Coturnix japonica: one gene and its partners. The protein of the gene in region 3 interacts with the protein of the main gene of each other region in a pairwise test. Links are inferred from orthologs where the notes say so. Each region holds a gene or a part of one and is shown on either strand. Other genes may lie near its edges.

Region 1 (5,159 bases), on a different chromosome or scaffold from region 3:
GCCTATCTGTTCAGAAAGTAGCCACATTTGATCTCTAAACTGCTTCCCAAAGGAAATGACAAGATGACAAAGAGACCAAAAAGCAGAACTTGAACATATTAACAGGAAGGAGTTACACTGTCGGAAAATGCAGGGCAGATATAATTTAACTCAGAGCCAAAGTAAATTCCAATGTTTGTTTTGCTGCAACTGTTTCATTGTATCTCTTCCCAGTTGTACAAATACCCCTTATTCTCACCTCCTACCTTCACCAGGTTCCCCACCAGCACCCTTTGCAACCAGCTATTTTTGTCACAGGCCAAGACCATAAAATGCAATTTGAAAAGTTACTTCTAAGCAATAAGTTTCCTTCTGGAACAAAGGATAAACAACAATTGCACAGATCACTTCCAGAAACATCCTGCTCTGCTGAAGATACCTGCTGCTGACCATGCTAACTTGAAGTCCAAATGGTAACTACTGATGTAACCAAGCAGTTCTACCAAAAGGCACAGACATCCTTATTGGACTCACTGGAGAGCGAGAGGAAAAGCTGACTGTAAGACTGGACCCCAAAACAGCTGAGCACTCTATGTGCTCCACAGCTATCCAGAGGGAAGAACCCATACACAGAGGGTGGTGGAGCACTGGAACAGGTTGCCCAAGGAGACTCTGGATGCCCCATCCCTGGAGGCATTCAAGGCCAGGCTGGATGTGGCTCTGGGCAGCCTGGTCTGGTGACTGGCAACCCTGCACACAGCAGGGGGGTTGAAACTGGATCATCATTGTAGTCCTTTTCAACCCAGGTGATTTCGATGATTCTGTGATTATGAATCATACGCTCTGACACAAGTGCGGCAGTTCCAGTTCTCCATCCCCACAGGCAATATATGGCTGCACACTGACCTGAAGGAAGCCAACCCTGCTGCCCTCCTGCAACAACCATCCCCAGTAACCTGGTGGGAACCACCCAATTCCAGCTCTGGTCAAGATGATTTAAAACTAAGATTACTTCACCGATTTCACCTTTCAGTTAAAGAGAAATTCAGACTGACCCAGAACATTCCTTTCTAAAGCTACTATGCCACAGATTCTGGGACACAACTAAGAATTTACTACATTCCAGAGCAAAACAGTACAGCTGCCTATCCTAAGCAGTCACCTACAGCTCATTACAGACAGGAAGAAAACTGGAAGCCTGGATTTGTTAGCTGAAGGAAGAGTCAGCACTAGGAAGGTGAAGAACTTCTGAACACGGCATCCTGGGTGGCCCCACATTCTCAGAGAAATTATTTCTGAATTGTGATGCTTGTCGGTGGCTGAATCTTGATACAGTCAATCTGCTGTAATAGGCCAAGAAAACAATTTTCCATGCAGATGTCCAAAATCCTGACAAATAAGGCACTCCTTCCTTACTTCGTACATCACATCCGTGATCTACAACAGAAGAATCTACAAGCAAAGCCCTCCTGCAGAGTATGACGACACAAATGTCATGCATGCTAAGCATTGTAACAACACTCTGCACAGTGTTACTTTAGGTAACTCGAAATAAATCTACACACTCAGATACGCTCTCTAAACTCCAAAAGCAGCTGGGCCTGAGTTATCTCAGATTGCCAGAGCATTGACACTGATGTCCCTGCGTTGTGCTCAGCCGGAAAGCTCATGGTGGAAAAACACAACCCTCCTCCCTGTGAAAAAAAGTGAAAGGATGCTTTAAGTTCAGAGTGAGAAATGTGGGTGCAAAGATAAAGCCTAAATGCGACTATCTCCCTCCACAGACGAAGAGAAACTAAATGTTAAAGTGGATTTCGATGCATAAACAAAATTTTCCTCAATCTGTCATTGAGAAAGAGGAGGAAAAAAAGACAAGCCATGAAAAATAGTATTGCTATGGCAAACTAGACCTAAAATGTAACAAAATCTATACGATACATTTATTGTTAATCATTGAGAAAGGAGGCCTAACTACTAGCTATTAAAAGAATAGAAAATGCCACTGTCCTAAACAGGTTTCCAGTTTCTCTAGGATGACTCTTATTGCTTTTAACCCTCAGGAAGAAAACCAAGTAGCGAACCATTTAAATACTATAATATTATCCTATTGCTGCCATCCTTAGGAGTCAAACCTACAAAACCCTTTCCTAACTTAACTAGCAAGACTGGAAGCACTAAGCACTAGGCCCAAGCCACGGCAGCCAGACAGCTCCCACTCGATTGCTCCATCAGCTTGGTCATGCTAAGGCTGGTCACGCTCAGCTCGGTCGTGCTTGCTAAGCACAGCCCAGGCCATGTTTACAGCTACTGGCCTCCTGAGCACGCACGCAGCTCAGTGGCAGCTTTCACTCTCATTTCCTCTCACGAGAAGGGCCCTTCACCAACTGCCATCTTCTGAGGGAGCTCCAAAGGAGCAATGACAGCATGAAGGGCAGCGTCAGGGCCACAGAGATCCCCGTTCACGTTTGGTGGGGGGGTGGCAAGGGGGGGGGAGGGGAGAGGTGGTTGGTTAAAGGAGAAAATAACTTAAGGATATGGGGAAAAAAGGAAGAGGTAGGCCTTAGAATTGCAAGCTTGGCACGTTACTAAGAGTAAATAAAAACAAAGCCACCCCTTGTTGCCAAAGCCATAATAACACGGCCCCAAATCCCCTCAACGTGAAAAACAGGGGTGAAATGTCCGTCCTCTCCCCCAGTGCCCCCTCACGCTCCTCAACACCGAAGTGTGAGGAGAAATCCCCCCTCCCGACCCCTCCCCTCGCCCCCCCAGCCTCTCCAACTGAGGTGAGCGCTCCTCAGCCCCCCCCATCCCCCCTTCGCGTCCCCCCGCCCTCCAGCCCGGCCTTCCCCGTCACCCCCTTACCCGCCGCGGTCTCGGTCGCGCCCCCGGTCCCCGAAGCCCCTCATGGCTCCCGGGGGGGTGGGCGAGAGGCATCGGAAGGCCGGCCGTGGTGACGGCGAAGGGCTGGGGGTGCGGGGCGAGGGCCCGGCCAACGCCGGCTGGGTCTCGGAGGACTCGGTTTGCGCCACCTCGGCTCTCGGGAGGGACACAAACGAAGAAGAAGTGGTCAGTGGGTCAGAGACCCGCTGAGCGTCAGCAGAGGGAACGGCGGGGCTCTCGGTCGGCTCCAGGGCCCGTCAAGTGTGGAGACACTCGCGTCTTCTTCCTCCGGGCTCCCGGCACAAAATGGCCGCCGCCGCCCCAACCCGCTTCACTTACGTTACGGGCGCCCCGGCGCTGCGCAAACTGCGGCTCTCGAAAACGCCTACGTTAATTCTCGGAAGCCAACTACGCCCTACGCGCTCTTGGCGGAACACTGCGCCGAACAGAGAGCGATATACGGAGATTGCGTAACAGTCTACGCTTCAGAAGCCCCTGCGTGAGGCGGGGAGTAAGGGGAGTATCGCTCTTCTTATTCCTCAAAGTCTACTACGCAAGGAGCCTACAGCGTAACCCCTTCTAGAGGGTAGGGAAAAGCTAGGCCGAGGCGTACGTTACGTAAGCGCACGGCGTACGCAGCTTGCGTAACTCAGGCTGACGTAGAGCAGGAAGAACCCGACGTTTTGCGTAAAATTCTTCCGCGGGCTGTGCAGGAAGGGCTGGCGGAGGGTCGGAGGATTACGCTGATCGTTCAGCGTAGCGGCGCTTAGAGAATGCGGCTGTTCGGCCGGGCGCCGGCTGCCGCTGTGGAGGAGACAATAAGGGCGGTGCGGCGGAGGGGGGTGCGGGGGGCTGCGAGGGCCGGGTGGGCTCGGGGCCCCCTCACAGGGCAGGTTGTCAGGGGGCTGTGGGCTCAGCACACGGGCAGCAGCGAGAGGGGAGGCAGCCATGATGTGTGCTTTGTCCTGGCTGCGAGACAACGGCTTGATGTGCCCCACACGGGTTGTGAAAGGTTGGGTTGTATCTGGCTTGGGGATGAGTGAGAGTGGGGCTGGAGGAGAAGCACCCAAAGACACACAGAGTGCTGTTCTCGTTTTAGGTCTTTATTATTCCCTTTAGTATAAACAACTTTAGGTCATTCTCTTCTAAAAGTGCTTCAATAAGCAATCTGGCCGACGTGAAAGTATTCCAGGTATTTAATTCTCTTCTTCCACACATGGAGTGCCGCAAAGCTCCTGGGCTTGTTGTTTCCATCAGCTATTTATTGCCAATTAAAAAGAGAAGACCCCAAATGAACCAGCTGAATAACACTGAAGCACACACGGTTTATCCCAAACACCTCTCAAACGATTCCAAGCAGATAAAAAGCAGCCAGGGGAGGCAGCGACCTGGAGCAGATCTTCATCCCAACGAAGCGCCTTGGTGGTTAACAGCTGTATGTCTGCATGAGGTTCCCACTTATTCTTTGGCATCTCCAATCCCTCCAGGAGTTATTGCAAATGTGGCTTCATTTTCGGGCATCTCAGGACTGGAGGGGAGGGAAGAGGGGGGAAAAGAGAACCACAAGTGTTAAATGGAACGGTCTGCCAAAGGTTTAAAGTCAAAGCGACACGGGATACTTCAATATGTGACGTGCATGATGTCATCAAGATGAGAAAATGTGAAAGGCAACTCTCAAGATGAGAAACTCAAGTGAGGGGAAAGGAGGAAGCGTGGGAGAGATGATTCTGTGTGTGCAAAGCTGTCTGGCCCGTTTCAGCTGGTGGCCAGGAGCAATGGCCACTCAGTTCTGCTTATATGCTGTTTAATACTTGTGTCTGCCCCAGCTCAGCCTGTAAACTGACACCCCACTGAGGGCAGCAAAAGTGAGTGATGGAACAGCTCTGGAATGTTCCTGCCAAGGGACAACCCTGGCTCTGGGCAACCTGGTCTGCTGGTTGGCGACCTTTGCACGTAGCAAAGGGGTTGAAACTGGGTGGTTGTTGTGGTCCTTTTCAACCCAGGCCATTCTGTGGTTCTATGATTTGATAGTCTTCATGAAGAGATCAACATCTAGTGGGATTTATGAGGTTACATAACGTAATACATACGATATGTGAGACAACTTGGAATCTACCGATCTAAATCTACTGATCACTGTCCTTTCAGATGTTCTCTCAATATACCCCCCAGATGCATGGTTCATTTGAAACCACCAATCAGTTCACAAGCTATTAAGTTTCGGTGCAGTGAACTTTGACACCCCGCTGTGTTCATAATGCAGCTTCTTAACTGAAGAGACACACAGCTTTACCTGTCGT
Region 2 (5,400 bases), on a different chromosome or scaffold from region 3:
CAGTAATAACTATCAATTCCCCAAAACAAGCTTCTGAATGGTGATGCTATATCTTTTGTTCTCTTTAAGAAACGTTAATTATTTGGAGGAAACACTGCAATATTTACATATGTCAACTAAAAATGCCAACATACTCATTGCTCGTACGGTGGTGCTCTACAGCTTCTGTGGTTGCAAAAAATGTTTATGAAATTGGAAAAGTTTTACTGCTAAAGCTGTCACCTACTGCGCCTCTCAGCTACGGCCAGCACCCCCGGCTGGAAGGTAACAGAGGAACTAACTGCAGCTCTCAATACGGTGAGTCAGCTCTGAATTAGGCTGGGGAAGGGCTGACAAACGATTCCCAACCAGGTTCTCTTAGGATTTGGGTTTTTGGCTTTTTTCCCTTTCATTCTGATACTTAAAAGAAATGAAATAGCAACGCTGTATCAGTCACACAGAGGACATGCAGATTTTAGCAGTATTGATATTATACTCCCATTTAAAGATACCCTTGATCCGCAAGCGTGGAAGTACTGCGGGCCGTTAACGCTTGGAACCAAATGCCGCGGGACAAACCAATGCTCCCACCCCTGTCCCGGTTTACTCCTTTAAAAAAAGACTAGAATGGAATAAGGAATTACACCGGCAAGTACTGAGCCACAATTGCCAAGAGGGTTTTAAAGAACAGAGCAATTGCAGCCCGCAGTGACCAAGAGGTGCCTGAAGAAGTGACACGCAGGCGCACGTTCTCAATTCACCTGTCTCAGTATAAGGTCAATACTGCCAAGTTCATCTGTGACAATAGCACTTGGAGTCATACCATTGCCTCCATTATTGATCTGATCCTCCTCAATCCTCCTTTTGACAATCCTAAAATGATTGACATGTGCTCCACAATCCTTTAATCCAAAGCATTCTTAATCCATCTCTTCAGATATGTCTACAGAAAGACACACGAAAAGGCAAGATAAAATATAAGATCCCCCAGAAGAGACAAGTTAGCCACAAACATCCCAACATCCCCAGCTCGCATGAACCATAGCTGAACACTGAGACATTTACACAGCAATACCACAGTTTGAAGAGTGTTGGTATTTAACTAGAACTAAATTGAAACAATCCTGACTGACATCAATTAAAATACAGTTTACCAAAGACATGAGGGGGAATGTTGTTGTTACGGAGCAAATACTCACTAGGGATTTTACACAAGAATGCAATTCAACACTTCAGCCAATCTGAATAAAACAGCTTGAATTTAAAAAAAAATAATATTGAAAGACTGTACTGAGTAAAGGAAAACTGTGTACAACATGGGGTTCTACAAAAAGATCAGAGCTAGTGATCGCTTATGTACGAGATCGGGATCTGCTGTGGCGGGGAGAGTAGCGTGGAGATCCTCTGCTTCTTCTTGGGGAATAACTGCGGCTTCTGCTGTTGCTTCGACTACGGCTTCTGCTACGACTACGGCTGCGTGACCGAGATCTTCCATAGCTTGGACTTCTTGGACCATCAACTTTAACACGGATGTAGGCAGTTTCTCCCTATTGAATAGACACAACTTTCGATTGAAAGGTCTAGGCTTCGGGGCCATCGTTTTAGGCATGCTGACAGACTGCAGATATCTTTACTAAGGCACAGAAATAGACATCAAACTCTTAATAAAGTCTATTTCGTGACAAACTGACAGCAGACTCAGTTTAGCTGCTTCGTGTATTAACGCAATGATCACCACACATTCCTTACCTTCACATCCTACTGTTAAGCCCTTTGTATCCAATTCTGGCCAAAAACAAGTAAGCGTGAAACCTACCTCATGAGATCTAAACTTAGTGTTATCCAGTTTTCGCACAGCGTAGGTCATATCTTCCTTCCGTACAAACTCCACGACACCAGTTCCATCTCGGAAAACATCAGCATAACATACATCACCTGCTTCACGCATGTGATCCTTTAAATCCTGCCAACTTCCACTTGGAGGCAGTCCTGGATAAAAAGCAACACCTGGCTTTAAAACCCAATGGTGCGATCATATCATAGTATCACAGTCTCGTGCGGGTTGGAAGGGACCTTAGACATCATCGAGTCCAACCCCCCGCGATTTGAGCCTTCTGTGTAGCAGAGCGGCACTTCTGCCACTTGCGCCACAGGGGATTCGAACCCAAGGCCTCCGGTGTTGCAATTCCAGCATCATCCCGCAGCACACGAGCAGAACACCCTGCACACAGCCCACAGCATCCAGCACCCCTCCCCCATCCCGAGGCTTCGCAGGGAAAAGCGGAGCCGCGTCGCCCCCCGCGCACGGCAGCACGAAGGACCCGGGGGAAGAGAGCAGCGACTCACCCGAGACGATCACTCTGTACTCCGATCGCCGGGACGGGGGGCCGTATCTGCCCCGCGGGGCTCCGCCCCCTCCGCCGCCGCCGCCTCCTCTGCCGGTCCCCCGGCCGCTGCGAGGGAACTCCACGCGGAGGCGATACCCATCGTAATCGTAACCGTCCCGCCCGTACACGGCGTCCTCGGCGTCCCTGCGGGTCGGGACGGGCGGTGAGCGCGGCCGCGCCCTGCCACGCGCCGCCCCCCGCAGCGCCTTTGTTCCCAATACCCGCGGCCCCACCCCGCCCCCACCACCACCATCAGCACCACAACCACCATCACCGCCATCACCGCCACCCCCAGCGGCGGCACCGCGCCGGGCCCGGAGCGCAACGAGCCGAGCGTGTGTGTGTGTGTGTGTGTGTGTGTGTGTGTGTGGAATAGCGCGCAGCGGGAGCGGCGCCGCGCGTGGAGGAAGGGAGGGAATGGAGGGGGGGGGTATCGGCGCCCGGCGGAGCCGTTCCCGCCCGTGCCCCAGGGCCCCGCGGCGCTCACCTCGGGTCCTCGAACTCCACGAAGGCGAAGGGCGGCCCCCCGCGGCGGTTCTTCAGGTCGATGTCGCGGATGGCGCCGTATTTGTAGAACACGTCCTCGATGTCCTTGGTGCGGATGTCGGGGGGCAGGTTGCCCACGTAGATGCGGCAGTCGTTATTGCCGGCCGGGCCGCGGATCACGCCCCCTCCGGACATGCCGAGGTCGGCAATGGCTGCGGCGTTCAGGGGCCGGGGCGCGGAGCGCGGGCGGGCGGGCGGGCGCGGGGCCGGGCCGTGCGGACGGGAGCGGACACGGCGACTCCAGCAACCGCCGCTTCAAAATGGCGACCGCGGCTCCCCTCGCGCTCGCAGCGCGCACTGATCTCGCGCACTGATCTCTCTCACCCCGCGCCGCAGCACCGCCGGGCCGCGAGACCGCAATGCGTTCCGAGTATCCCGCCGCGCTCTCGCCCTCGCGCATGCGCGGCAGCGCGGAAAAGTAGTTCCTCTCTTTTGCCTTTCGCCTCCGCTGCTCCGCCAAAGCGGCTGTGGCCGCACAAGAGGCTCCGCTCCTGCCAGCGAGGTCGGGATGAACGTGAATATCCGCCTCCGATCCCCGCTGTCCGCACCGGGACCGCCGCGCTTCTTTCCGCTGCCGTCTCAGGGCGCCGGGCCGTGTGACGTCACTTCCGGTGCGGCGCTCGCGCCAAGAAGTCCCGGCCGGCGCTGGGGGTGTCCCACAATGCACCGCGCCGCTCGGGGCTCTTGGCGCCAAGGCGCGGGGCGTGGCCCGGCCCACAATGCACCGCGGGCGGGTCGGGCCGTGCGCAGCGCTGGGCGGGCGGGCTCGGTACTGAGCGTCCATTCCCGGCCGGTCCGAACCGATCCGTGTCCGCACGAAGCGCTGCGGGCGGATCCGCCCTGCGGCTGCACGGGGTGCACGGGGAGCGGGCCGTGTGGGTCCGTCAGCCGCTCAGCGGACACTGTGTGGGACGGTTGGGACGGGCTCGGTGCGGAGGCAAAATGGCCGCCCCGAGGGCACGGAGCGGGCACCGCGTCACCGCCCGCCTCAGGGGAACGCGGCGGGGCGGGCAGCGGGACGGCAACGGGATACGAATAAAGGGCAGGAACACGGCAGGGTGTGATGGGGACTGAGTCATGAATGGAACAGCAGTGCAAACACCGGGCGGGTGGGAAACGAGCGGAACTGGGGGCGATGGCGGGCGCTGTGTACGGGTGTGAGCAGAGCCGGCCTAAGGGCACAGCCTAACTATGGGCAGAACCTTCCTATGAGCACAGCCGAACTATGGGGGCACGAGAATAACGCCGTGCTGAGTTTGTTTTCTTGATGAGGTTGTAATTGATGTGAAGGCACAGTAACACACCGGGATGTTACCCTTGTTACTCACACGTCTCTGACATTTCTTCAGGCAGCAGATGTAATTTTGAACGTATAAATTGCTTTTAAGTAATGAGGGTGCAATTAGATGAGCCAGGCTTTGGTTTAACAACAAGAATTCTTTTGGCCTGTAGCTGCTCTGTGGTGACACAGAAACTCCAACATCCACTTTTCTTTCTTTAATACAGCATAAAGTCTTTGCCTGACCCATGAGGGCAGAGCAGTCCCTGCTCTGTTGGCTCACACTTGGCTGCCTGGACGTTGTGCTTTGCTTTGCAGATGTGGCAATGCATTGAGGGCTGGAAGTGGCACTGGGGCACACAGTGGTTGCCTGCCTGCATCCAGCACCGCTGAGCCTGCCTGGTGCTGGAGGGCTGAATCTCAGCACCACAGGGATGGGGAAACAGCAGCTGAGCATGGAGAAAAGCCATTATGCTCCTGAGTTGATGAGGGGAGTTTGAGGAATGTGTCCGAGCATTTAGCAGTGGCTGTTGTGCTCACTTTGTTTTCATTTGTTAATTCAAAGCGTGTATTCCTCCCACAGACAGTGACTTACAGTTAGAAAACATCCCATAGTGAAAACATTTTCATGACAAAGTTATAGTGTGCTTGGTTATTATCAATGCCTTTTATTTTTGTCCCTGTGGGTTAAAGTGCAGTAACGTCCTCTGCTCTAATGGTTTCTGACATTAGTGATGCCTGTGCTGCATTGCTGGTGCTTTAAAGACTGCTGTCAACCACAGGAGGATGTGATGAGCAAAGCCCACCAGCAGAAGCGGTGCTTTACCCACATACAGCTCATGGTTCTGGGGGATTTCCTGCATCTTTATGGAGCTTTAATGCTTTCCAGTGTGAACTGGTTGCAAAGACCCCAAACAAACTCTCCCCATGTCTGGAGAAAGCTGCAGCCTAAGCCTGGGAATGGGGTTTAATAAATGCTGGATGTTATTCTTAAAGGCGTCATAAGATAATGGTGAATCTGCCTGGTTTGCTAAAACCCTGCTGCACAATTTCTTTTGTGTGTTAATAGTCCTTATAACTACTTTAAATGATTGCCTTAATTGCTTTAATGAAGTGTCTCTTTATAGAATTATTGGATGTTTTCTTTCTCATTCCCTTGTTGAGCTCTGTGTTATCAGTGGAGCACTTAAAGCATGTGGATAAGCTGCA
Region 3 (4,263 bases):
GTTGCTATTTCACTGCTAGGATAACGAGTGGTGGAAAGCAGCACTGAAGTAAAGAAGGAAACAGCAAGTGTTTAATACAGGGGAACTTCGCTGTCATTTCACATCTTCAAAACGCTTTGTGAGCACAATGAAGTGGCAGATGCCTCATTAATCCAGAGTTAGCCATGAGACATTTAATCAGACTGCTTTGTTTCAGGTATTTGTACAGCTGCAAAGAAATCGTTTTACGAAGAAACACATCTGGAAGCCTCGGCTTCAGCATTGTAGGAGGCTACGAAGAGCACACTGGGAACAAACCTTTCTTTATCAAATCCATTGTTGGGGGAACACCAGCATACAACGACGGAAGAATCAGGTAATGAGAAATGCTACTTCTCTTTCATCCTGATATTTTATTTTTTAAACAAGCTTTGCTTGAATGCTGTAAATGGGGAAATAAAAGGAATCCCCTGACAGGTAGGAAGACGAGCATACTTAGTATTAACAAACTAAAAATTCACCTTCTCACTGGTGACAAGTGACAGGAAGAGGGCAAATGGCCTCAAGTTGCGCCAGGGCAAGTTTAGGTTGGATATGAGAAAGAACTTTACAGAAAGGGTAGTTAGGTACTGGAATAGGCTCCCCAGGGAGGTGGTTGAATTGCCATCCCTGGATGTGTTTAAGAGCCGTTTGGATGTGGTGCTCAGGGATATGATTTAGTGGAGGGTTGTTAGAGTTAGGGTACTGGTTAGGCTGTGGTTGGACTTGATGATCTTCAAGGTCTTTTCCAACCTGGGTAATCCTATGATTCTATGATTCCCAGTGAGCTCAATGGAATACAGAAGCTCTGAAAACAGGACACGAGTCCTAAACATATTTACTGTCATTGTAGAGTATTACTGGATGGCCTTCTTAGCAGTCTCCAGTATAAGTAAGTAAAAGATGCATCAGTTTGATTTCTAGGGCACTAAAAAGAATGCCAGCAGAGAAGCTTTTCTACACCCCCAGCTCAAATGAAAGCCAAATCAATACTGCACTATATTTAAAAGGGGATTACAAGAAGGAGTGGAATCAACTTCTTCTTTGGGTAGACAGTGATGGGACACTCCTCTGTGTTGCTCTGTTCCCTTATTCATGGACAGTGGTGAACCTAAGAAGGAATGGTGACACTTCTACCCAATGAATGGCCATCCTGTGGCATTTCCCAAGGAGAAGTGCCCTCATTTAAGATTCCCTTGTTTTGCCTTTTCTTTTCTCAGATGCGGCGATATCCTCCTTGCTGTCAATGGCAGAAACACATCAGGAATGATGCACGCCTGCTTGGCAAGGATGCTCAAAGAACTGAAAGGAAAAATTACTCTCACGATTGTCTCCTGGCCTGGCACTTTTTTATAAAACAAATCTTGATGGAGATTACAAGAAGGAATTTAACACAGAAGAAAGGCAAACAAAAACAAGAAACACAACAGATGTCGCCCATCTTTGCTTTTTGGGAGGCCAAATATGTGTTTATAAAGAAACGGTTTGTGAAATTTCAACCTGCATGTCAAGAAAAGCCAAGTTTAGACAAAGCAAGGACACACGTCAAAGAATCACTTCAGAGTGATTTAAGCTACAGACTTAAGTCATTCCTTCCCCACGTTCTCAAGCTTTTTTTTTGTTTGTTTGTTTTTTATATATCTATTTAATGCGTTATAATAATAATGAAATTTAAGGAGCACCACCTCCTGCTCACCCACTTTATTTTGATTTAGGAAAAGAAATCCTTGAATAATCTATGGAAAAAAAATCCTTGCAATTTTTGTAATTGCAAAAAAATCAGGTGAAGGTTTTTATCCACCACGTGAATAGCACTTTGGTTCTGTGTACCTTTTCGGGTCAGCATGAAGCTGATATTTTCAAGACTTTCAAGTACCGTTTGTTAGTCTGTAAAACTGTGAATTAAATTTCTAAAGTTATTAAAAATAACCATTCTTGTGTGCTTGTACAAATATTATTTTCACCCAAAAGAAAATGAAACGGTACCCTGACAACAAGGTTCAACTTCTGCCGTGCTGCCATAGCACTCTCACGTGTCACAGTGCTAGAAGGTAACCTGAAAGCAATGATGGCCTTGTTTTCTTACAGCATTCTTTGCCTTTCTCTGCAAGATACTCATTTTTCAAACTCTTATTTTCTTTTCCTCCTAAAAGCCAGCAATGCAGAGAGGCGGCGTTTGTTCATCTTTTTCATGTTAAGCACAGCTGTCCCCTAGAACAGAGACTAAAATGAACTTTCTCTTAAGCCACTGAAAGGCAGCAGAAATGATTATCCAGTTTAATTCTTCCTTATGCGCCCACACAAACCAGATGTAATTACCAAGTGTATGATCACCGCACTCACCCAGTGTTCCATCAGACTGAGAACAGTCAGCACCTTTCCCCTTCCCCTCTTGTTTTCATTACGCTTCACTATAAAGTTGTTGAAGATTCTGCAATTTCTTCCTGTCCCTGCAGTAAAGGATGATCTTTTCAAATGTGACCTCCAAAAGCAATACTGAACTCACACTGTTCCAGATGTTGGTGTATAATAAAGTGAGCGCACACTGCTTCTAAAGCCAGCAGAAGAATGACCTTCCCCACCGGCTTATGAAAAAAAGGAGACGATCTAATACAAAGAATTTAATCCCTACGTATGTTGAAAGAGCATCATTCTTTAGCTGTAAGAGGTTTTCTCATTGCTTCTTAGAAGGGAAAGTCAGCTCAGGAATCTTAATGTGAAAAATTTATTCTTTTATTTTCAAAAAAAAACAAACAAAAAAACAAAAAATAACCCAAACAAAACCAAAACAAAAAACCCAACAGAAAAAAAAACAAAAAAACAAATGAAACCAAAACAAAACCCAAGTAACTTCCGCTTTTGTACTAACAGAACAAGATTAAGAACAAATTACTTTAATAACCAGAAAAATAACAAGATTTATAGTAATCTATTTCTGGCACTAATATAGATGCAAATAGGCAAAAATCACACAAGCCTATTCCACGGGGGCAGCTTCAGTGTTTTCTTGCTCAGGAGCAGGTTCACTGCTGGCTTCTTTTCCTTCTTTGCTTCGTTTGGATTTTTTGTGTTTGTGCCTTCTGTGGCTGTCTCCTTCTTCACTGTCGTGGCGGCGTCTGCTGTTACTAAAGAGAAAGAGGGAAAATACACCTCAAGTCATTGCATGACACTTCAGGCCCCCCTTCATGAGAGTACTGAAAACTACAGCCTTTGTGTTCATTCTTGAAAACTGGCTCCTGCTCTGTCTCGTATGGTAGCTGGATATCAAAATCAAGCTGAACTGTTTAAGTAGTGGTATGTACATTCACACACCCTGTGATTCTTTACTGCGATATCTGAATAACTTTTAGATTTGCAGCCCATATTCTAATAGTAATAATTCTAGTTATGTCACATCCCTAATAGTATCCTTAGAACATTCTTATATTCATCCCCTTCCCCTGAATTTCTAATTCAAAAAGGATCAAGATGAACAATTCCTATGGAGTGAAAATAAGATCTACTTCACAAAGTTCATGTGTTAATGCTGATGAATGTCAGCTTCACTCTACCTCTTTCTGACCCATCATTTTACACTTTTTCCCCCAAATTCATAATTTCTGTTCACTACCTAAGGCAGTCACATGCATCAATATGAAGTTACCCTGCACCAACACTGTTTATTGTCTGTCCACATTTTATATTGCATACTTGTTTCAAGTAGTACATTTAAGTGTTTTCCACAGAACTCCAGTTTGTTTGGGGCTCTTTTAAGAAATTATTTTTTTAAGCTGGTAAAGTCTTTAGTATCCTATTAAAAAACTCAAACCTTCGAGATGATTTGTGTCTTGTATCTTCTTTCTCTCTGTGTCTCCTCTCTCTGTGTCGGTCATCTTTCTCTCTGCTTGTCCTATGGCGGTCGTAGCCTCTTTCTGCATAGTCTCTGTATCTGTACCGTTCTTCATCACTGGTTAAAAGAAGATCTTTTCAGGGCAGTAACACTAAGAAGTACATATATATACATAAACGTTCATACACTTTTGAGAAGAGTGACAAAAACAAATAATCTTCATGTTGCTTCTGTGTTTCTAAACCAAATCCACACCCTATATTAAAGGATATTAAAGCACTTTGCCTCATACTCCAGACTTACCAAGTCTTACAGGAAGATACAACATAACCAGGCTTATTTTGATACTATTAAGCTGACAAAAGCCAAGTGTTTCAAGCTTTCCTTACGTTTCTTTGCTAACATTTACCATAAAA
Region 4 (4,654 bases), on a different chromosome or scaffold from region 3:
GCTCTGCTGGGAAAATGAGCCACAGGAACAGCAGAGAATGCAGCTTCTCTCGCCCCACTTCACCGCCTTCCTCCAGCTTCACACAGAGCCCCTGATTTCAAATGACTGCTGAGATCACATGGTTATGCACATGCTCAAGTCAAAGCAGCACAGAAAGCTGCTGTACTGGTGCCTACTTCCACAGCATCCACAACTCTCAAAAACAGTCACTGCAAATCATTGGGGACTCTTCGTCCAGCAGACACTCGTGGGGATGTGCTTTGTGAGCTCTCTGCACATCACTTCTCCCGCAGGACACAGACCCCGGCGTCGCAGCGCTGCATCCCCAGGGAGGTCACCACTTCCCAGCTGTCGATGATGGGATCGTAGCACTCAATGCTGCTCAGCAGTGAGTTGCCATCGTACCTGAAGGGACAGAAAGTCACAGCTGAGGGGTGCTGCCACAGAGAGGGGTTGAGATGCTCAGAGTCCTCCCAAGTAGTCTTGATGTGCATTCAAGAGGCTGAATGCAACGCAGCCATGGGTTGTGTCACTTGGAGTCACTCGCCCCTCTTGCTGACACACAGAGCACCTTCCCCTCCAGCCCATGGCCATCTCTTACCCAGCGATTGCATACAGCCTTCCCCGCAGCACGGTGGCCCCCACGTAGCAGCGGGGGGTGGTCATGCTGGTTACAGTGGTCCAGGAATCAGTGCGGATGTTGTAGGCTTCCACAGAGGAGAGATGCGCCGTCCCATCGAACCCACCAACAACATAAATGTGGTCGTTCAGCAGAGCAACTCCGGCACCTGCAGGGAGAGGACACAGGAGTGCTGACAGTGCTGTGCCTAGTGCTGTAACTCTAACCCTGCCAACTTCTGCTCAATTTCCAGTGAGGGGGAGCGAGCAGCTGCAGCCAGGGCAGCAGGAGCAGCATGAGGTACTCAGCCTGCAGCCAGCCTGACAGCTGTGCCTGTAAGAGCTGCTGTGCTCAGCTGCCCCAGTAAGAGCAGTAATGCTGTTGGCCGAAACTGGCTACACAGTGGCTCAAGTTGTCAGCGTAATGCTGTCCTAACAGTGCTGCTCTCTGCTGTCCTGGATGCCCAGGAGCTGAGCCCCAGTGCTTGCCTGAACACCCCTCACTGACTGGGCCCTGCAGCTAACAAGTGCTGCCTTCACACGCTGTCCCATCACATTACATACGTTAACTGTGTTGCCTGCTCCTCACCAGTTCCTAATTAGGGCAGTCACAGACTTCCTCTCCCCACAGCCCATAAAGTCACACTCACACTCCTTTATGGATCCTCCTCCTGGGGAGCTAAACCAGCACACAAGCTCCTACCTGAGCGCTTAGTGGCCATCGGTGTGACGTTCGTCCAGTGTCCCGTGTGGGGATCGTACCTCTCCACAGAATTCAGTATGTTCAGCCCATCATAGCCGCCTGAAACACAAGAGAGGAGCAAACTGTGCGCCATCCCAGCGAAGCATGGCACAGCTTCCAGGGTCTGCTTCAGGATCTGCATGTTGCTGCCTGCGGGCACCTACCGAGGCAGTAGATAACTCCGTTGGCTACAACGAGCCCCGCTCCTTCCCGTGCTGTCTGCATGTCTCCCAGCATACTCCACTGGTCAATGTTTGGGTCGTAGCGTTCCATGCTGGTGTGGCGTCGGCTCCCATCAAACCCACCAGAAACATAAATCATATCTGCAACGACAGAGCAGGGGTGGGCTGAGCACAACGAGCACCGAATGTGCACGTGGAGCACAAAGGCCTTCATAGACACAGCAAACCTACAATGTGGACTGCAAAATACAGCAACCACAGCAGAACTTGGCATGTTTGAACCTGAGAGAAATGCAGACTGCTCACCCTCACGGTATCAGCCTGCCTGCAGATCAACCAACCAAGCCCAGAACCCAGCCAGCCCTTCCAGCTGCTTATCCACCATGAGAGCTCCTCCTCCACAGCCCCTCCTTGAGCTCCCATTGCTCAGAGCACAGTGGCACAAAGAATGGAGACACAGCAGAGGTGGTTTCCATTGTTGTAGCCAAGCAAAGAGCTCCAACGATCTGCCCCAGGATGCACCTCCCAGGGTTGTGGCTCCTGCCAGCCCGCGCCGCACGTTCATGGGTGCTACGGAGTACCAGATCCCATCCTCATCTGATGTGTAATCCAAGCACTCCACGGAGCTGAGGCGGGAGCGGCCGTCGTAGCCCCCGATGACATAGATCCGGTCATGCAGGGACACAGTCGCGACGTAACGCCTCTTACGGGTGATGCTCTGAAATGAGGAAGGAAAACAAAGGGTCAAGGAGAAGAAACAACCCCCCGTGTGTGCAGAACAACTGCTGTTCTATCCCATTTTTGCTGCTTTGTTGGAAGAGGCACCTCAAGGCAGAGGCAGATGACAGTGTGGATTTCAGCAATCCATCTCTGGCTGAAATGCACCAGGACTGCATCTGCTTTCTGCAGCTTCTGCTGCCCGGGTCTCTTTGAATGCACAATACTTTTGTACAATGTCAGCTTATCTCCTGTCACTGCTGAATCCCTGGCACATCCTGGAGGTGTGCATGCCTCCCACCGCTCCCTGTCAATAGGGAAACGTGGAGGCTACAGAGATCTGCTGGATGCAGCTGAAGCTTTTGGCCTCCCAAAAAAAGAACTGAATTTTGGGAGAGAAAGCAATGTAAGTTCCCTGTGATTAGCAGTAACAAAGGCCTGCGCTGCTTCCTACTGGTACAGCTGCTTCTAAGATCGCACTGCAGAAGTTATCTCTAAATAAATCCCTTCCCACTCAGACCCAACGTGAGCAGGGATCACGCAGCCTGCTGTGCTCACAGCAGCACTGACCCCAGTGCTCCCACTGACACCCCAGATGCCACCTCCAAACTTCACAGCTCAACGCCCCTTGAAGACAAAACATGCTGCCCTTCAGCTCTCACTCCCACAGCACAGATGCAGCCTCTGCAGGTTCAGCCCAGCAAATAAGGCAGCAACCTCTCCCACAAAGCTTTACAAGCAAAGTGATTCCAGCGTTTACTGCATACACCTCCACAACCCAAATGAACTGAGGACAGCCCAGGGAAGGTTATGTGGCCAGTAGCACACGATCGATGTTTGATGTCAGCGTGCCTGTTCTGCTCAATGATGGTCAGAAAAGGTCCCTTACAGGCAAGAAACTCCACTCGTGGGTCTTCGGGTCGTACTTCTCCACAACATCTATGGGTGACTGCTGGCTGCCAAAGCCGCCGATCACAAGCAAGACTTCATTTGCTCCTGCAGCAAAGAGGGAGAGCAAAGCCACATCAGCTGGTGTGCAACCATGGGCGCAGAGCTGAGCCCTGTGGGCATCATGCAGCACAGCCACTGCAGTCCATCCAGGAAGTGAACAGGCAACACGAGGGCGTGTGCTGAGAGTGCTCCTGACAGCAGTGCTATCAAATTGTTATACAAAAGAAGGCAGAATGCAGAAGGTGGACCTTAGAAGCAAAGCGCACAATTTTCACCTGGATAATGATGTGAATTTGTGACATTCCCTTTATCAGCTGAGGCATTTCGACCCAGAACAGAGCACAATGCCTCTCTGTAAATGGTGGCTTGAGCTGAAGTGGATGTCCCTGAGCACTGATGTGGGGTGTTCCTGGAAAAACAGGAGCTGTGCTGTGGGTGGACTATGTTGGAGGTCGAAGCACACCGCACTGCCTTCAGGACAGAAATTACTCACCATGCCTCTCAACAAACCAACCTGCCCACCTCCCAGCTGCCCTTCACCCTCCCACGTTCCCCATTCCATCTTCCCTCCAGTGCTGCCATCTCTCACCTCACCCTGTGAATTTCTGACACTGATAACCACCTTTTAGAAACTCTGCCCACACTCCTGGGACGGCTGCATGCTCAGACAAACCCATCTGGGAGCACCAACACAGGAGCAGGGCAACCAGCTACTCCCTGTGCTGCCACTCGTTAACAAGCCACCCTGTCCTGCACTGCTGTCCCCCTTCTATGCCACTGTGCACTGCAGATCAAGAAGTCTTTGTTGCAGAGCACCACAGCACTGCATGGCACACACAGCTCCTGCAGGTCCCACAGCTACTCCCGGCACCTCCACACCACTCACCCAGACGGGCTCTGGTCCTGGGTCCCTGCATCTGGCTCCGGAGCTCAGGACGGAGATGGAATTTCTTTGCTTCATCGACGAGGTCTCTGCACTGCAGACTGCATCGGATGAACGGCTGCAGAAAGACAGCAGTCACTGATACCAGTGGTCTGTGCTAAGATCCCCCCAGAGATGCCATGGGACTGTTCTCATACAGCTCATCTCTCGTGGCACTGCAGATTACAGGATAAAATACCCTACACTGGAAAACTGAGGAAAATAGGATTCTGCTACATGTTAGCCAGTGGAAACCCAATTGAGGAGGGAGCAAAGGCTGAGTGGGCCTGGCTGGGTCTGCCCCACAGCGTCAGCTCAATATGTGACTGCCAGAGACACAGCATGGAGCAAAGCCCAAACTGCGCTGCTCTGTATGGAACACCCTGCTATGGGCGGAACTCAGAACAGGGAAGTCTCCTCCAGAAGCAGCTGTGGGCACAGCAGCCCTAAGCATTGCCTCATGTCCTCCTTGTTCCCCAGCTGGGCCTGGGCCAACCCCCCGCTGCAGCTCCACATCCAGTT
Region 5 (5,081 bases), on a different chromosome or scaffold from region 3:
TTGCCCAGGCCCCCCACGTACAGGTGTTCATCTTTCACTGCCAGCCACTCTGCCTTGAAGCCTGCAGTGGAAAGAGCAGCATGGGCCGCACATAGATGTTAGGGTGCTCTGCAGTCCACACAGCCCCCTCAGCAGCACACAGTACTGCACACAGCCCCCCCAAACCCTGCAGGATGACAAAAAGGTGCCAAGAGACAAAGCTCCCCCACCCTGTGTGTGCAAGTCAGGCAGCAAACAGGGAATTACAGGGCTCACCTTTCCCCACAGTGCCATCCCCATCCGACAGGATCACCCAGGGCACCGCCTTGTTGCCCTCGATCTGGTAGACCACCCCAGTCCGGTCATCCACGGAGTACAGCTTCCCATTGAAGACAACCAGCTCCGACAGCTCCATGCCCCTGCCCTTTTCCGCCAGGTGGGACTGCAGCACACTCTCCTCTTTGTCCCACTCCACCATCACACTGTCCCCGCTGGCCGACAGCACCAGATAACCCTTCTTCAAGTAACTGAACCAGGTGTGCTCCTCAGAGCCCCGGGACTGAGTGTCCAGGTCCGCAATGACCCCGATTCGATAACGCACACCCTCGGGGTTCCTTTGGGGTGGGGACAGCGGGTAGGTGTCATTATAGCGATCCTCTGCCTGCAGCCAGAGGTGCCGGCTGTGGGGGTTGGGTGGGACGGGCCGTGCTGGAGGGGAGCGATGCAGGCAGAAGAGCAGCAGCACGAAGCCCACGCAGGCGGAGGACAACACGATGGCCCTCCAGCGCAGGCGGAACCGGGGGTCGGCACCTTTGGTCATGGACGCGAGGACGGGCAGGCTACCCACGCTGATCCGCAGTGGGCTCATAGACTCATGGCAGGGCGGCACGGGCATCAGCCTGCGGGCGAGGAGAGCCTGGCAGTGAGAAGAGAGCGGGTGAGAGCTGCAGCCCAGCGCTGTGCTTGGGGATAACGGCGAAGCACAGTGTTATGTGATGAAGCAGTGGCCCTCAGAGGGCTGCTCTGCTGCAGGAGCCCTTCTGCCATGCTCATTCCCTATTGACCCCAGATAAGAGTGAGCCCATGGCTGTGTGCTGGGTGTCCTGATAGCAGCATCCTCACCCAGGAGGAGGAGGGCACTGGCTTATGGCTGCACACGTGGCAGCCCCGCCCGAGCAGGATGCTGACACCTGAGCAGGAAGTGCAGTGCCCGGCTGTGCGGGATTACAGCCATACCAACCCCAACCCCATAACTCTATGATGCAGCAGCCGCTGCTTCCCGGTCACATCTACCCCTGGATAAAGCTGCACTGTCCCACCGTGCCCATCACCGTGTGCCCCCACTCTGCCCAGCCCCGAGGATACCGGTTGCCCCCCGGTCCATGCCGTGCCCCCCCCGCAGTGCAGCGCTCCCTTAGTCCCTCTCAGCCCCTTTTGGGCAGCCCTGGGGGGCGGACAGAGCCGGCATTGAACGACCCGGCATTGAACGGGGAGGTCCGGCAGCTCCGCACCCCCCTGCGGCCTCCAGCCGTGCCCAGCCCCCCGGGCAGCCCCCTCCCCATTACCGACCACCCCGGGCAGCACCGCACGGCCCCGCACAGCCGTCACCCCGTCAGTCACCCCGTCACCCCGCGGTCTCTCCCCCGCTCCCCGCCGCCCCCGGCCCCGTCTCTCACCGCGCCGCCTCCCGAGCGCAGCCGCCTCCACCCCGGCCAACAGCCACCGCCTACAGCTCCCTGCACCCCCAGCGCTTCGCTACGGCACATGACAGAGGCCAAACTAACGCTGTATGAGCACTGAGAACTACAGCTCCCTGCAGCCTCCGCGCTCTGCGCTCGCTCTCATTGCTCTATGGGGTGCTGCGGCTCCATGCTGTAGGACAGACACACAGACCCCACTATAGAGCACAGCTGCATCCCCCATGCACTGCCCTGCACGCTGCCTCTCACATCTGCAGCTGCTTTATGGCACAGCCCCCCACGTCCCCCCGAGGCCGGTGCTGGTTGTGGGGCTGCTGCTGGCAGGCATGGGGTGCACACATGGTTAATGCTGTCTGCTGCTGGGCCCACATCTGGCAGGGGGGGAAGGGCTGCTCCTCTCTCCTCCTTTGCTTTCCAGAAGTGCATTTCCGCCCGGCCATAGGAGGAGAGGAGGCTGTCACAGGGGCAGGCTCTGCCCCACAACGAGGGGGCAGGCAGCGCAGCACCACGCAATGCCCTAAGCAGCAAAGGAAGCACGGGGAGAGAGCGGCCCTGCCCCGGAGGTAGGTGTGGGGCAGGGCTGGGGGTCACCTCTGGACACAGGGATGAGCGCTGTTGTGTGCACATCTGTGTGTGCCACTGGGCTCTGTGTGGGCTCCCAATGTGCAGAGTGCCCGGGGGCCTGGACCCCCACCCTCACTGTGGGTAGTCAGGCTTGCACCCTGCCCCACATGCAGGAGGGTGGTGGGGATTGTAGGGTTAAAACCTCACGTGTTGTTGGAGGGGCACAGCTCAACCTGCAGCAGCACTGGGGTGGGGAGTTAGTGCCGTAGCTCCAGCTTTGAGCCCTGCAACCAAAACACCCCATGGACACATCAGACTCAGCACTGGGCCGCCCCAGGGCAGCTCTGCAGGGACTGGCGGCTGCTGGTGGGAGCACAACTTCTCATCGGTGCTGCTGGGTGCAGTGGGAGCTGGAGGGTTGCGACCTCTGTCATTCTTTGGCTGCTCCATGCAGCTCCCACCCTGCTGCCTGCTGGGGCTGGGCTGCTCCTCTTCTGCAGGCAGCTCCACAGATGTCCCAGCTGTTATGGCAAAAAGGAGGGGGGTGGTGGGGGGCTTATCTCCAGATGTCAGAGGAATCCTGGCTGCAGCCACAGCTCAAGGAGGACCGTACCCATAGCTGGTGAGCAGGAAAGCAAGGTGGGCATGCTGGTCCTGCTGCCTCTGGACCCCCCTGTGTGCCCAGCCCCTTTGCTCCTCCCCCAGCATTTACTCTTCTTTCATCCTCGCCTTTAATGCTGCCTGGAATGTTTTCAGGATGTTTTGACTTGCAATCCCAAGGCTTTAAGCAGCCACTGAATTTCAGTCTCCAAACCACTCCTGGACAGCATCCAACCCCTGACAGGAAAAAACAGAGTCCCTTCAGCAAGGCTCTGTATATGCCTTTGCAGATACGCGTGCTGCCTGCCCGGCGTGCCTGCGGGGTGCAGAAACAGACGTGCTCAGGGTCTGGGAACTCTGCATGCTGCCCACGGGTACACCATGCTGCTGGCAGCACTGTGTGTGCATGGCACGCTCGCCTCCATTTCCAGCCCTGAGACAGCCTGGAAACGAGCTGCTTTTCTAAGTAGGAACATCCTGGCTAAGGATTTCTTCTCCCTGCTGAGCAGTCTCCTGTGAAGCTTTGCTTTCCCTGGGGCTAAGCCCACTCAGGGTCCCAGGGAACAGTCTGGCTCCATAGGAGAACGGCACAATGTGGGCCCAGGGCAGGGGAAAAGCTGTGGGTTCCCAGCAGCACAGCAGGTTGTAAGCTGTGCTCACCAGCATATGGCTGACACAGCTGGAGCAGAGCAGGGAGAAGAGAGCCAGGGCTGAGCTCCCACAACGGTATCTGCTCACAAGCCCTGGGCTGGCCTGTTTGTGCTGCTTCTCTCCGGCACACAGAGCTGAGTGTGGGCAGGTGGCAGGCCATGGTGATTAGGCTTTGGTGCCAGGCTGCCCTCGGTGCCACACGGTCCATGGTGCCACCAGCCCTGCTGCCAGCAGTGGGCAGCAAGCTGAGGACAGCCCCGCTCCAAGACTTTGGGATAGGGTGGGTGTGGGGGGAAGTATGTGAAGGGATGGGCCCTTTGCAGAGGGCTGGCGCAGAGGGAAAGCCCTTTGGAGCTTTTCCCCATCCCTCCGCCCTTTCCCTGTTCCTTGAACATGACTCATGAGCCAGGCATCCTGGCCTTGAACGCCCTCTGCTCCCGCTTCTGGAGCATGCCTGTCCTGGTCCACACAGCCCACAGACCCCAAGGGAGTCCCACCCTGACCATCGCTAACCCAGGACCCAGGCACTGAAAGCAGCATTCATCAAACTGTTGGGTTCTGCCTCCCCAGCTCACACCCAGGACACAGACTGAGGCACAAGGGGCCCTTTGCAGACTTGGGCACACAAAGCTTGCCGTGCTGCCATGGGTGTCCAGCAGCAGGGAGGTGCCACTTGTTCTCCTGGCACCTTTGGAGCCATAGGGCGCGGTGCAGTGTGCTTGCACCATGCCTCAGAGCTGATATGATAGTGATAAGGCGAGGAAGGGCTGGGCTGCACTGCCACCTGCTATCACTGATGTTAGCTTTGGCCCCAAACAGGATGTTGGCTCCCGGCTGCTAGGGGCTGGCTTGTGGACAGAGCCACCAGCAGCACTTGAGGCTCAGGAGAAGCAGCTCAGGTTCCCTTGCAAAACCCACAGAGAACCAAGGCATAAGGACTGGCAGAGAGCCCCATAGCCGGGCTGCTCCTCTGCTCCCATGCTGTCTTTCCCCACCAGCCCAACCCAGCTGTAGCACCCTGATCCCCACCTGCTCCCTGCCCCCTCTGGACACTGCTGGGCTTTGCCATCCCCCTCAATCACTCTGGTGTCTCACAGGGTGCTGCTGCAGCATGGAGGGCCTTTGGGCACTCAGAGTCCTGCTGCTCTCCTGCCTGCTGCTGCCCAAACCTGTGTGCAGCCAGACCAGCCCCAACCCTGACCAGCATCCAGCAGAGCCTGAGGAGTCCCCATCCAACCATCAGACAGCCAGGTGAGGGGGCCCTGGGAACAGAGGTACTGCCATTGGGATGGGGCAGCCCCTGGCACCACGAGGGGCCCAGCCCCCATGTGCAGCTCCTGTTGTGCTTTGCTTTCTGCCCCCCCAGGGCCATGCAGGAGCAGAAGGACAGCGGTGCCCAGGAGGGGCTGCCCCCACAGCCCCACTGCGTCCGCTGCTGCGAGCCACCCAAGCACCACTTCTCCTACCCCCAGTACCAGCCCCAGATCAACATGACCATCTTGAAAGGTGAGGGCTGTGGGGCACTGCCCCCAACCAGACCTACAGCCCAGCACCTGTCCCACTCCCAGTGCTGGGTGGGAGACGACA
Region 6 (5,365 bases), on a different chromosome or scaffold from region 3:
GGAGTTTTAAAAGAAGTCGTAACATACCCGTCGTTTAGTTACTCCAGTTACTGAAAGCAACAGAAACAGAACAGAAAATGGCTTCTATTTTAAAGACATTGTAGGTCTTTTCAGATACAGCTCTTGTGTAAATTACAACATCGAGGGAAAAGGAGCGGGGCTATCAGCAACATTACAGTGAGAATAACAAACCAAAACGATCGTGACTGTGTAGCTCTAAGACATGAAGAATATGTACTTTGCAAAGCTCAACTTCACTCATTCATCACTCTCCAAGTGTTGATCTCAGCTTTCCAAGCCTACATCCCTGAAAACACAAAGCCTTTCTGGTAAATGCTCCTTCAGCACTGTGTGTTTCTCACTGACACAGCACGGAGACCCCCTCCTACCTTCAGCCCAGCCTCCCATCACACCTACAATGGAGGGCATGCTGGGGTACTGCTCGTCTGCTTTTGGAGACTTGGATTTGCTGGAAGGACGGGGCGAGTCGCGCTCCTGCTGCGACACGGCTGAGCGCCTGGAGATCACATCGGAGCCCTGGCCATACTGAAACCCCACGTGAGGAGATTCCGCTTCTGCCTCAATCTGAACCTGGTCCTCAGGTTGAGAAATGTGGCCAGCAGGCTCAGCAGCCCTGTCCTCCAGTTTGCTGGATTTATAGTGTGGAATGTCAGCGGGTTGCTGCAGTCCCGGGTGTCGGGATTTCTTTATGGCATCCTGCCTTTGCTCGTGCTTGGACAGCTGCTGCTGCGTGTTTCTTTGAGAAGCTGGATAGTAGTTGAAGTTGCTCCAAGTGTTTCCCCTCATACACGTCCCTTGCTCTGGGTTTGGCTGTGGATGTGGGGGGCTGCTTTCTGCCCTCCAGCCCGCGCCGTACAGACACGGCTGCTCCCCGCCATTGGAATTCACCTCCTTGTCTGAGAGGCTGAAGTATCGATCCTTCTCCTTCTCACTGATGTCCAGAGACGACTTGATGAACGTTTTACACACGCTGATAACGTCGGTCATCTGAAGGTAACTGGCGGCCGACATCACCTCGATGACGTTCTGACCAGTGAGAGACAGTTTGCCCGAATACACAAAGTCCAGAATAACTGTGAAAGTGTCCGGAGAAAACGCCTGGAAGGTGGCGGTGGTGGGTTGAGTCATTTCCTTGGAGCTCTGCGAGAGCAGCATCTTGAAGTACCCGCTGCTGGCAAACAGCACATTGCGGTGCGCCCTGAACACTTTGCCCTCCACCAGGATGTTGCAGTCACAGAACAGCTCCTGCCTGCGCTGCTCATTGAGCTGCTCCAGGAGGTGAAACTGGTGGGACGAAATCTCCATCCCAAAGCAGATGTGCTGTGCTCTAGGAAACAAAGGGATTAAAACAAATTACAATCGTGAATTCCACGTTGCGCTGCTCGCCAAGGCCGGCAGACCCCATTTAATGGATATTCTGAAAAATAATCTTATTGAAACACACAAATATATTTGAATTAAATATCCCAATATCCACCACCAGGCATTGCTGTTCGAAAAGGATGGAACGAGTCCATGTGAGGCTGCCTGTGCTGTTTGGCAGCGATGTCAGAGCTCCGAATGAGCAGCAGCAGCATCCTCAGATGGAGGCTGAGAAACGCGGCGGCACCGTTCAGCCGTTCACCGTCATGGCGAGGAGCCCAAGGAGCCCGAGGAGCCCGAGGGAACCGGCAGAGCTGCGGCCTGTGCCCGGTGCTGCCGTTCCCGCACCGCCCGAATCCGGCCGGGCTCGAATCCATCCCCGCCCGAGGGACCAGAAACGGGAACTCGGCTCCGGCCTCATCCCTCCCGTCCCGGGCTGCCCCCATTGGCCGCCGCCGCCGCCACTCACCGCGCCCCGCCCGCACCGGCCGCCGGCAGCCCGTGACGCCCGGCGGCACTGTGCCCGCCCGCCAAGGCGCGGAGCCGCCGCCCGGTATCGGCCGCGATGCCGCCCCGGGGCCGCCGCCCCCGCTCCCGGTGCTTTAACACGGAGCGGCGCCCTCGGCCGCCGTCCCGCGTGGCGCTGCCCTCGGCTCCGCTCGGCTCCGTGCGGGACGCGCCGCCCGCCGCCCCGTGGCCCCGGCTCCGCTCGTTCCCGCCCCGCTCCCGCCGTGTCCCTGAGCCGCCCCCGCCCGCCCCGCCCGGCTCAGTCCCACTTCCCCCCCCGCTCTCCGCTCCCGCGCCGCCCTTTGTTGCCGCGCCCGGTTTCTCTCCTTCTCGCCCGGTTTCTGGCCGCCAATGGCGCCCGTTGGCGCTGCCGGGGCTCCGCGGCCCGCCCGGCTCCCGGCGGCGAACGGCGGCACGGCCGGACCGCGGGGCTGCGGCTCCCGGCGCCGTCCCGCCCGCAGCCCCGCACACGGGCTCCCTCCGCCCCGGCCGCCACTCACCGCCGGGTTCCGCGGGCGGCTGCCGCTCGCTCGGTCGCGATGGAGGCGCGGGCGGAGGGTGCGGGGTCCCCGGCTCCGCTCGGGCCACGCTCAGCGCCCCGTTCCCGCAGCCCCGAGCCCTGGAAGCCCGAGCGGGAGAGAAACAAAAGGTATTTGCTGACGTGGGCGTTGGACACGGACGCCCGAGGGCTGGGGACACAATTAAAGGGGCAACGCACCGACTGCAGCCACAGCCCAGCAGCTCCCGACGTCTGACCGCCCTGCAGCTCGCGCCGCTTCCGTCCCGCACACACACACGATCCGTCCGGGTGGGGCTGCGATGTCCCGGTTGTTTCTCACACCTTTATGTGTAACACGGGCCCAAATGACCCAAATCCTTCCTTAACGTATCTGCAGCTTCCCCAGGAGGAGATGCGATGTCTTTCCTTCACATCTCAGTTGTCTTTGGAAAAAGCAGCACAACGCCTTCAATCAACCTCCACCTCTCGACTTCTCTCGCTCCAAGTTTGACACCCTTCACCTTCCTCTTCTTACCACCAGCGTCTTTTCTCTCCTGACCCTCATTTGTTAATCATCCCTTGTCCCATGTTCTGCCTTAGCTGTATCCTCGGTTCCTTTCAACCTTCCCTTGCATAAACTTCAGACATTCCATCTTGAATCAATTTACGTTCCTTTCCCCATCGTAGCAGAAGCAGGAAGGCACCTAAAGGCTTTTTCCTCCCCCACTTTCATTCTCGCAGTCTCTCCTCTCTTCACATTCAATTTACGTCCATTTATGTTGGATCGTTGTATTTCCCCGCTTTTATTCCCCTTTTTAATAAACTTCTGTTGTTTTCTCAGTTCTGTCTCATTTCGAATTTTGCTGTGCAGGCCACACTAAAAATCCTTCATGTGTCTGTGTTCTTTCAGAAAGAGAACAGAGAGATGACAAAAGTCCAGCACAGCTTTGCATGAATTCCTATGGGGCGTGAGCCAGCCAAGGCAGGGAAGAATGAAGCAAGTGAAATACATGGGAATTTATAAAATCACATCAGGATCAATAGGAAGTGATTGTCAGCTGCTGATCCTGGTGTAAGGGGAGGTGACGGCAAATGAAGCGATAGCGGTTGGCAGCAACAGAGCAGCAGGATGTGGTTCTTCACCTGACATAGGCAGGCACAGGAGCTCCTTGTTGTGCAGTTGTGGAAGCGAAATGTGAGCGTTACACGAGGCAAGGGTACAGCTATTGAGACCAGGGTACAGCTATTGAGACCAGGGTACAGCTATTGAGACCAGGGTACAGCTATTGAGACCTGTGAGTTACCTGCCATGCACCTCTGTAAGCCTCCATGTCTGTAAGAGGAGCATTCAGGTATTAGTGCTGCTAAACGCCTCTTGTTTCCTCGCACAGAGCAGGCAGCTGTTGTGAGCAGGACAACAGGGCAGATGAACTCGTGTTTGTCCTGGTGTTACAGCCCAGCTCTGCAATCCCTGAGTTCACAAAGCCCTGGACAGTGGCTGCCAATAATCCATGTGCCTGTCGGTTCAACTAAGCAGCACCACTTGTGTATATGACATCCTACATCATGGTTTCCCCCCACTTCCATATCCCAAATAGTTCTTGTACTGAAAAATTCCTTCTGAAAAGAATAGATTGTGGGTATTTGTTCTGCACGACCCAGCTGACACTGCACAGACCAGGTGCTTTCCTGGCGATACCAGAGGGCACCGAGCTCAGCAGTTTTATCAGTGCAAGCAGGAGTTTAAGGGTTCTCCATCGGCTACAAAGAGGTCATAGAATTTTAAAACTAGGGGAAAAATGCTGTGATATCTCGAGTAAACAAATCAGATCTTTAAACCTGATACGAGTGCTCAGAATACTCAGAATAGTTCAGGAAACGCCCAGAAATTCACCCAGTGCAGCTGGGATCACAATGGAACAGAATGGGGGTTTTCTCAGACATCAGGACTCGTTTCGCCCTGTGCTGCACAGCAACACATCACAGCCATTCCAATGCTTACAAAATAACAATAATAATCAAAGCCAAAGCAACCCTCTGAGAGTTTTATTTTCTAGACAATCAGAACGCTCCAGAATGCTCCGAGATCCACAAATATACTTAAGTCACTTCTACAGGTAAGGTAAGATCGATGAGAATTGGTCACTTAAAGTGGGCAAAAGGACTCCAGCTATGAAAGTGCCATAAAACATCAGTAACGACACAACCACATCTGCAAGATTTACAAGGTCTCGCACCAACAGGTAGAACGCACTATGGACAGCAGTGCAGCACGTGATCCTCCTGCAGTCTGTGTGGCCTTTAAGAACTTTGAGGAGATTACAGTAGAAATGAGTTTTGTAGAACCATTTTTCATTTGTTGGTTAAGCACCACGTGAATGTTTTATAACAGCTACATCGCTGCCTCGCAGCTTGTGGAGGCTGCAATTACAGTGGAAGGTTTCAGGAAAACATCAAAAACCGGGACGGGAAGCACAGCAAACACTGACATGAACATTCGGGCACAAGAACGTGGATCAACTCCATCCGCTTCTATTGAATACAAAAGCTGAAGGACTCAGCTGAAAACAAAGCAGCACAACATGACAGATCAACAGGAAACATCGATTCTGGTGCTCACTTTCGATCTGGAACACGAACAGCACAGCCCCCCCCTACTCAGAGTCACACAAACCATAGCACAGCTCCGTTCTCTATGCACAAGACACACAAGAACAACCTCTAAGACCAAAGAAAGCAGATTGCAGGAAAATTGCTGGAGGTCTCTGCAGTTATTCCTGCAGCTTTTACTACAGACTTTCACAAGAGCTTCACTTTCCCTCCTCTGAACGTCTTTCAGTTTCAGAGTTGGCTGCGCTGCTGCTCAGCACAGCTCAGTGGGGCAGGATCAGCTCCTGACAGCTCCACACCACGCTCAGCTGATCCCAGCTCTCGTCGCCTCTATTTACAATGACTTGGCGTCGTCATGCTAGAAGG

What was found. The genes of interacting proteins can lie anywhere in the genome.
Region 1: the proteins of LNX1 (region 3) and DDX17 interact in binary tests that used the Homo sapiens proteins (3 or more experiments, as listed by UniProt). The two-hybrid records come from large-scale screens. The link is inferred for Coturnix japonica from reciprocal best matches to the Homo sapiens genes LNX1 and DDX17.
Region 2: the proteins of LNX1 (region 3) and SRSF1 interact in a two-hybrid assay, tested with the Homo sapiens proteins (3 studies listed by BioGRID and IntAct). The link is inferred for Coturnix japonica from reciprocal best matches to the Homo sapiens genes LNX1 and SRSF1.
Region 4: the proteins of LNX1 (region 3) and KLHL12 interact in binary tests that used the Homo sapiens proteins (3 or more experiments, as listed by UniProt). The two-hybrid records come from large-scale screens. The link is inferred for Coturnix japonica from reciprocal best matches to the Homo sapiens genes LNX1 and KLHL12.
Region 5: the proteins of LNX1 (region 3) and C1QTNF1 interact in a two-hybrid assay, tested with the Homo sapiens proteins (2 studies listed by BioGRID and IntAct). The two-hybrid records come from large-scale screens. The link is inferred for Coturnix japonica from reciprocal best matches to the Homo sapiens genes LNX1 and C1QTNF1.
Region 6: the proteins of LNX1 (region 3) and zinc finger and BTB domain-containing protein 8A interact in a two-hybrid assay, tested with the Homo sapiens proteins (2 studies listed by BioGRID and IntAct). The link is inferred for Coturnix japonica from reciprocal best matches to the Homo sapiens genes LNX1 and ZBTB8A.

Annotation. Positions count from the first base shown.
Region 1 is NC_029516.1:46,422,487-46,427,645, reverse strand, and holds the start of DDX17 (probable ATP-dependent RNA helicase DDX17), read right to left. Parts: upstream 3,204-5,159; 5' UTR 2,886-3,203; coding exon 2,842-2,885; intron 1-2,841. Other genes in the region: DMC1 (meiotic recombination protein DMC1/LIM15 homolog), read right to left, coding at 4,318-4,387, 5,153-5,159. UniProt on the Homo sapiens protein: As an RNA helicase, unwinds RNA and alters RNA structures through ATP binding and hydrolysis.
Region 2 is NC_029534.1:7,446,025-7,451,424, reverse strand, and holds the start of SRSF1 (serine/arginine-rich splicing factor 1), read right to left. Parts: upstream 3,204-5,400; 5' UTR 3,048-3,203; coding exon 2,854-3,047; intron 2,511-2,853; coding exon 2,326-2,510; intron 1,969-2,325; coding exon 1,796-1,968; exon of another isoform or gene 1,527-1,795; coding exon 1,332-1,526; 3' UTR 1-1,331. UniProt on the Homo sapiens protein: Plays a role in preventing exon skipping, ensuring the accuracy of splicing and regulating alternative splicing.
Region 3 is NC_029519.1:59,314,868-59,319,130, forward strand, and holds the end of LNX1 (E3 ubiquitin-protein ligase LNX), read left to right. Parts: intron 1-196; coding exon 197-355; intron 356-1,238; coding exon 1,239-1,374; 3' UTR 1,375-2,891; downstream 2,892-4,263. Other genes in the region: FIP1L1 (pre-mRNA 3'-end-processing factor FIP1), read right to left, coding at 2,996-3,143, 3,827-3,964.
Region 4 is NC_029541.1:902,740-907,393, reverse strand, and holds part of KLHL12 (kelch-like protein 12), read right to left. Parts: intron 4,212-4,654; coding exon 4,097-4,211; intron 3,256-4,096; coding exon 3,149-3,255; intron 2,261-3,148; coding exon 2,065-2,260; intron 1,684-2,064; coding exon 1,525-1,683; intron 1,421-1,524; coding exon 1,322-1,420; intron 789-1,321; coding exon 602-788; intron 406-601; coding exon 279-405; 3' UTR 1-278. UniProt on the Homo sapiens protein: Substrate-specific adapter of a BCR (BTB-CUL3-RBX1) E3 ubiquitin ligase complex that acts as a negative regulator of Wnt signaling pathway and ER-Golgi transport.
Region 5 is NC_029533.1:4,623,193-4,628,273, forward strand, and holds the start of C1QTNF1 (complement C1q tumor necrosis factor-related protein 1), read left to right. Parts: upstream 1-1,878; 5' UTR 1,879-2,242; intron 2,243-4,591; 5' UTR 4,592-4,605; coding exon 4,606-4,745; intron 4,746-4,860; coding exon 4,861-5,000; intron 5,001-5,081. Other genes in the region: CANT1 (soluble calcium-activated nucleotidase 1), read right to left, coding at 1-61, 256-895, 1,656-1,745.
Region 6 is NC_029538.1:4,571,877-4,577,241, reverse strand, and holds the start of zinc finger and BTB domain-containing protein 8A, read right to left. Parts: upstream 3,204-5,365; 5' UTR 2,391-3,203; intron 1,814-2,390; exon of another isoform or gene 1,466-1,813; intron 1,349-1,465; 5' UTR 1,327-1,348; coding exon 390-1,326; intron 1-389. UniProt on the Homo sapiens protein: May be involved in transcriptional regulation.